Linked DNA regions of Xenopus tropicalis. The protein of the gene in region 1 interacts with the protein of each later gene in a pairwise test. Links are inferred from orthologs where the notes say so. Each region holds a gene or a part of one and is shown in the gene's direction. Other genes may lie near its edges. The genes, in order: mcmbp and prtfdc1.

Region 1 (3,832 bases):
AAGACCAACTTTACTGAATATCATGTTTATCCCTTTCAGCTATTAGCGTTTTGCTTTTCATTATGCCATGTGTGCCCCCTCCAATATGTTTCTCTATGAGACCCCCGATCTCACCCCGTGCCCTGTATTCCAGCAGCTCAGAGACCGGCAGATGGCGACTGGCAGAAGAACGTTACCGACTACTTCAGTGCCAAGCTACGGGACAGTGACTCTGCCGCTGCCGTAAGTGCTCTTCCTTTAGCAACACCGGCCCCTTGCCCACCATTACATGTTGCCCCCCTGAGCCACTGGTTGGGGGTCACTGATGTAGAGAGTAATATTCCACTTTTTGTTCAGCAACTCTCCATGTTTGGAATTTCATCTAGTTGCTAGGGCCCAAATTACCTTAGCGACCAGGCATTGGCTTGAATGAGACACTGATATAGGATAGAACCTAAACAAAGAAAATGAATAACAATAAAACTGGAGCCTCACAGAGCAATAGTTTGTGGCTGCCGGGGTCAGTGACCCCCATTTGGTAGAGTTAGAAGGAGGCAAATCATTTAAAAACTATATTAAAAAAAGACCAATTAAAAAGTTGCTTAGCATTGGCCATTCTCGGACATATTACAAGTGAACCACCCCTTTGAGAAGGGTAAATCATGATACCCCTGTGCCCAGCAGGATTGTTGGAAACCAATTGCCCCTATTCACCCCTGTTTCCATTGGCCGCCCAAGGTGCCGTGCCTCAATGACACCCCCCTGCATTACCTGAAGCCCAACAGCCTGGTCCGGTTCCGCTGCATGGTGCAGGACATGTTCGACCCGGAGTTCTACATGGGGGTCTATGAAACGGTCGATACCAACACCAGCGCCAGAGTAAGTACCCCACTGCCTGGCACAGCTTTGCCATCTCGCCTACTGCCATTGGTTCTAAGAACTGTCACTCATTGCAGGTTCTGCATTTCGGCAAATACAGGGATGTGGCAGAAAGCCTGGTGAGTCTCCTTCTTTTTCCCTTTGTGCAAACGTACCTACCTGAGGGGTACTTCCCCTTTAATCCACTTTAAGTTTAATCCTATATGGGGGGTGTGTATGTGGGAGGAGCTGGGGGGGGGTGTATGTGGGAGGAGCTGGGGGTGTGTATGTGGGAGGAGCTGGGGGTGTGTATGTGGGGGGGTGTGTATGTGGGAGGAGCTGGGGGTGTGTGTATGTGGGAGGAGCTGGGGGGGTGTGTATGTGGGAGGAGCTGGGGGTGTGAGGGTCTAATTCTGCAGCACTGCTCATTCTCTCTGCAGCCGCAGCAGGAAGTGGATCCGGACTCCCGTCGCAATGTAACCTGCGAGAGACAGACCTTCTACTGTGTGCCCGTGCCAGGGGAGTGCCCGTGGGTGAAGGATATATCCTTTTCTCTTTTTCTATGTGTAATATACAGTTTGGCGATTTCCCTATGGGACCAAAACTGTAAATTATATTATAAATGGTGCTTAGTGATGTCATTAGATATAATCTGGAGCTTAGTGATGTCATTTCTGTGACACGATTCATTAAAACTTGTGTATTCTAATAAAGTACCCCCTGTTGTAAAATATGAAGATATTAGAAGTCGCCGAGGAGTTCCATGACCTTTGCCTTCGGCCTCATCCCTTTATATGGCCATGGAACTCCTCTGACTTATAATATCCCTATATGTTACAATAGGGGGTACTTTATTCACTATATATTATAAGGAACCCCTCGGGGGCTTATAATATCCCTATATGTTACAATAGGGGGCACTTTATTCACTATATATTATAAGGAACTCCTCTGACTTATAATATCCCTATATGTTACAATAGGGGGCACTTTATTCACTATATATTATAAGGAACTCCTCTGACTTATAATATCCCTATGTTACAATAGGGGGTACTTTATTCACTATATATTATAAGGAACTCCTCGGGGGCTTATAATATCCCTATATGTTACAATAGGGGGCACTTTATTCACTATATATTATAAGGAACTCCTCGGGGGCTTATAATATCCCTATATGTTACAATAGGGGGTACTTTATTCACTATATATTATAAGGAACTCCTCTGTGACTTATAATATCCCTATATGTTACAATAGGGGGCACTTTATTCACTATATATTATAAGGAACTCCTCTGTGACTTATAATATCCCTATATGTTACAATAGGGGGCACTTTATTCACTATATATTATAAGGAACTCCTCTGTGACTTATAATATCCCTATATGTTACAATAGGGGGCACTTTATTCACTATATATTATAAGGAACTCCTCTGTGACTTATAATATCCCTATATGTTACAATAGGGGGCACTTTATTCACTATATATTATAAGGAACTCCTCTGTGACTTATAATATCCCTATATGTTTACAATAGGGGGTACTTTATTCACTATATATTATAAGGAACTCCTCGGGGGCTTATAATATCCCTATATGTTACAATAGGGGGCACTTTATTCACTATATATTATAAGGAACCCCTCGGGGCTTATAATATCCCTATATATTACAATAGGGGGTACTTTATTCACTATATATTATAAGGAACCCCTCGGGCTTATAATATCCCTATATGTTACAATAGGGGGCACTTTATTCACTATATATTATAAGGAACTCCTCTGTGACTTATAATATCCCTATATGTTACAATAGGGGGCACTTTATTCACTATATATTATAAGGAACTCCTCTGTGACTTATAATATCCCTATATGTTACAATAGGGGGTACTTTATTCACTATATATTATAAGGAACTCCTCGGGGGCTTATAATATCCCTATATGTTACAATAGGGGGCACTTTATTCACTATATATTATAAGGAACCCCTCGGGGCTTATAATATCCCTATATATTACAATAGGGGGTACTTTATTCACTATATATTATAAGGAACCCCTCGGGGGCTTATAATATCCCTATATATTACAATAGGGGGTACTTTATTCACTATAATATATAGCCAACACACTGCCAGCCAATCGGCATACTTGGCCTGCCATGCTTCAGTTTGTGATTGGTTTACCCTTAACGTGGGATTCACGCCTACACCAGCTGCAGCCAGGCCAAGGTGTGCGCCTCCACCTCCTACGCCCCCAGCCGGCAGAAGAGGAGCTACGAGGAAGATGAGGATGCTGCTCCATGTAAGGAACTTCACTTTGTAGCACTGCTGTAATAGACACCCCCCCCCATTGGTTCATCACGTGGGCACATTTATTCCTCTCTCATCTCCCCCCCCTCCCCCCACACAGGTGACACTCGTGCTTCCCATGGATTGGGTGAACCAAAACGCCTGGAGACTGAAGCTGCGGGGGCTCAGCAACACCTGCCTTCCAGCTGCTCTTCTGCCCCGGACCTGAACTTCCCTCTCCCTGGTGAGAAAGGGCCCGCCTGCCTCATAAAGGTACCAGCCTTGCACCCCCTCCTGGGCATAGCGGGGCGCTTGCACCCCCTCTTGGGCATAGCAGGGCGCTTGCACCCCCTCTTGGGCACCACCAACCAACGTGGGGCACAGGGAGCCATAGAGTACCATGCACATTCTTGCCCTGTGCGCTTCTCTCCTCCCCTCTAGTTCTGTGTTCTACTGCCACCTTGTGGCCAGGCAGGAGATAGATAATTGCGCTGCTGGCTATAGAAATGCAGCAGCTGCTGTTTTTGCTGCAGCAGATTATCCATTCATGTGTCCAGTCCGAACTGATTTGCTGGGCCCAGTGGCAAAAACCCAAGCCGGTGGCGCTATACTGTGGCACTGATTTGCCTTCTAGCAACAGGTAACAAATGGTACTGCAAGTGGCAGAGCTGCTAATACTCAATGAAA
Region 2 (3,832 bases), on another chromosome or scaffold:
AGTTCCACTAAAAATGTAGTTTGTGTTGTCCTGAGATGGTATGAGATGTTGGACTTCCCATTGAGCTTTCCTAAGAGGGCATGAACAGCTGTAGTTTCTATTTTACTCTTTACTTATTGATGAATCCAGCCACCCGCATTGGCCTTATAGCCAGGTCCAAGTTAAAGTGTATTATTTATCTGCCATACTACTTGCTTTTTCTATGAGGGACACACTTTCATAATAGTAATATGCTTTTCTTTTTTTTCTGTAGATTCCAGATAACTGGACTGGATATGACTTGGATGTATTTTCACTGCCCAATCACTACTGCGAAGATTTAGAATGTGTATTTATTCCTCATGGAGTAATAGTAGACAGGTATTGCTCCTTGCGTAATGTTGGGTGTCCGTGGTATATATGGGTTCCCTTTTTAGATGTAACCTAATACCTCTTTTCACATATATAGATATATATTACTTTCCTTAAGAGCGATATGTTTTCTTATATATATATTTTGAACCATTGGTTGTCCGGCTCAAGAACCTATGGAGGACCAGCATTTGGTCAGCAGGCCCCCTTAGTTCCTAACAAGCTTACAGATATTGGACAACTGGTGCATCAGCCAGTCAGTCTTAGTTCCCAGAATATCTAGGGTCAAACACACATTTAGTAAGAGGTCCTGTGCCACTGTTCCAGTGGCTTAGCAACAACTGTATTTGACATTAAAAGACTAGAGCCGGCCATACACGTGAATATCATTTTGGTGTGCAATACGGGGCTGATCCAATGGTTTGACCGTCTCTATGCAGGCAGTTTGAATGAATGCCAACATGCAGCTGTGATTTTTTGGCCAGATATTGGTCGGGTAGAGGTATCCATAGAGAGGCAGATTATCTGCAAAATCGATCTGAAGGGGCCGAATCAGCAGCCTAACTCTGTCCATTTATAGCCACGTTTAGGCTTATCCCACACGTGGAAACTCAACTGACATTTAGGGGCACATGTACTAATCCACGAACGTCCGAAAAGCGTCCAAATGCGTTTTTTTCGTAATGATCGGTATTTTGCGATTTTTTCGAGCGCTCAATATGAAAAAGTCGCGACAATTCGCGAAAGTCGTAATGGCTATGCAAAAGTCGCGACAATTCACGAAAGTCATAATGGCTATGCAAAAGTCGCGACAATTCACGAAAGTCATAATAGCTATGCAAAAGTCGCAACAATTCACGAAAGTCATAATGGCTATGCAAAAGTTGCGACAATTCACGAAAGTCATAATGGCTATGCAAAAGTCGCGACAATTCACGAAAGTCATAATGGCTATGCAAAAGTCGCGACAATTCACGAAAATCATAATGGCTATGCAAAAGTCACGACAATTTGCGCAAGTCGTAACGGCTACGAAAAAGTCGCAAAATGTTCGTTTCCAATCCGATTTTTTTCCCATTCGGGATTCAGTTTCGTGGATTAGTAAATCAGCCCCTTAGACTATGTATAAATGACATGGATCATCATTATCTTCCAGTTGACAGTAAAATAAAATGCCTTAAGTATCCCTTGTAATTGTGAACCAGGTTTGGAAAGTAATCTGCAGCTTTTAAATGCCACAACTAAGTTGTTGCACCCAAAACATCATTTAGTAACATAACTGCAGCATGCTACATTGGGTGGAAAATTGTGTACATATTAACCACATTCATAAAAGACACCTGTACACCCATACATGCTTCTTGTATTTGTGGAGCGCGCCTGTGTGCCCCCCAGCCGTTCCACATTAGATATCTCTTTATATTTCTGTGATGAAAAATAATTAATAGTTTCTATACTTTTCTGCCGAAAAAAAACCCCTACGAGTCCTGACTGCCCAATTAATTTCTTCAGTATTATTGTCGGTATTACAGTTTAATGATTAAAATCATTCTGTTTGTGTTCTCTTGGGACTCTCATTGGAGCTCTGTCCTGCATGAACTCGTAAGTGGAATGTGCTTTTATCTTATTCTTATAATGGGTCATTATTGCTGCTTCCAGTATTCAATGTACCGTTTCCAGTAATAATCTCTTAATGTAACAGCTGATAATGACTGGATCCCCTCTGGGTTTCTATTGGATTGGGAGTCTTATGAAAATGCTTACCTGTTTTGCAGGACGGAGCGCATTGCTAATGATATCATGAGAGACATTGGAGATAACCACATTACAGTATTGTGTGTGCTGAAGGGAGGGTACCGGTTCTGTACGGACCTTGTCGAGCACATTAAAAACCTGAGTCGCAACTCGGAAAGATTTATATCCATGAGAGTGGACTTCATCAGGCTGAAATGCTACTGTGTAAGTTTGCCCTCTCTTTGTGACAGCTTTTCCCTGCTGCTGGATAGTTGATCCCCCAGGTAGCTAAGCAAGGCTCTCTCCAGAGGGCTTTTATTTCCTAAGGTGTCTAGCCATTTTCAAAAGCAATAAGGAAATCATAATCCATATTACACTATACGTTGTTTGCTTTAATTGTCATAATTGCACTAGACCAGCACTTTCCAGAAATGTTATTTCTCATACAGCATGTTTGAGTGCCGGATTGAATTAAAGCTATGATGTCATACAGTGAAGTCTATGGAGCCTTCAAGCTGACTGAGTGCCCTAAAAACCCTCCAAGGGCCACATCCAGCCCACAGGCCTCCAGTTGGACAGCCCTTCACTAGACCACTCTGCGTGCCTCCATTTTCTGTCCAGTTTTAACATGGGTTTGTTTAGAAGTTTTTGAGCACAATAAATACAGAAGCTTGTGTCAGGAGACAGAACAAAATACATACGGTTCATTTATCAACATTGGGCAAATCTTCCCGTGGGCAGTAACTTGTAGCAACCAATCAAATTGTTGCATTTATTGTTCTACTTGTAGCTGACTGGAAAAATCCATTCACTGATTGGTTGCCATGGGTTACTGCCCATGGGCAAATTGACCCAGTGTTAATAAGCCCCAATATCTGTGCCCAGACTTAAATGTAGCAAATCATGGAAGATCCAGTCGTTTGATGAGGTTGCCAATAGAGCAGATATTTACCTGATCTGGCCATCCAGGCCAATGATCAGATCATAATGGTGGCATAGGGGGAACTGCTGTAAAGGGACTATATGAACGCACTATTTAGGGATTTGCTAACTTGCCTCATACTGGTACCAGTACGAGCAAGGGCAGACCATATCAAGGCTTGGAGCTGAAGGCTTATAATGCATAGTATGGGTCAGTGCCACCATGCACTCCCTGTGTGGTCCAACAGGCCAGAGCAGAAAATAAATGCTGGGAACTCAGTCAGGAACAGGTTAAACAGGTTAAATATTTCTTTTAGAGGAACTAATTTTTAAAGGGGTGGCTCACTTTTGGTATGGCTCACTTTTAGTATATTATAGAATTGCCAATTCTAAGCTTTTTTTTCACTTTTCGGATGAGGGCCAGTCAAAAAATATTGCTTTGTGAGGCTACAATTTTATTATTATTGCTACAGGTATCGGACCCCTTATCCAGAAAGTTTCAAATTACTGAAGGTTTAAATAATTTTTTTAGAAGCCTTAAGGTAGGAGATCCAAATTACGTTAAAGGACAAGGAAAGTCAAAATCTATTAAGCACACTATTAAATAGTACTACTATATTTGTAGCTTGCCTAATGAAAGACTTACAGAGATACACATACTAGTACCTACATACTTGTTTCAGTGAACGGCACCGCCATCTTGTCCAGCGTGTCTGTATGGGCACCCCCGCTCGTGTCCTAGTGTTGTGTATCCTACTCACCACTTGTCAGCACCCCCTTCCCCCTCTCTTCCTCTCGTCGGCACCCCCGCTCCTGTCCTGGTGTT

The links.
Region 2: the proteins of mcmbp (region 1) and prtfdc1 interact in binary tests that used the Homo sapiens proteins (3 or more experiments, as listed by UniProt). The two-hybrid records come from large-scale screens. The link is inferred for Xenopus tropicalis from reciprocal best matches to the Homo sapiens genes MCMBP and PRTFDC1.

Annotation. Positions count from the first base shown.
Region 1 is NC_030683.2:6,244,558-6,248,389, forward strand, and holds part of mcmbp (mini-chromosome maintenance complex-binding protein), read left to right. Parts: intron 1-133; coding exon 134-222; intron 223-663; coding exon of another isoform or gene 664-717; coding exon 718-858; intron 859-935; coding exon 936-977; intron 978-1,277; coding exon 1,278-1,379; intron 1,380-3,058; coding exon 3,059-3,158; intron 3,159-3,266; coding exon 3,267-3,418; intron 3,419-3,832. UniProt on the Homo sapiens protein: Associated component of the MCM complex that acts as a regulator of DNA replication.
Region 2 is NC_030682.2:25,731,232-25,735,063, forward strand, and holds part of prtfdc1 (phosphoribosyltransferase domain-containing protein 1), read left to right. Parts: intron 1-253; coding exon 254-360; intron 361-2,126; coding exon 2,127-2,310; intron 2,311-3,832. UniProt on the Homo sapiens protein: Has low, barely detectable phosphoribosyltransferase activity (in vitro). Binds GMP, IMP and alpha-D-5-phosphoribosyl 1-pyrophosphate (PRPP). Is not expected to contribute to purine metabolism or GMP salvage.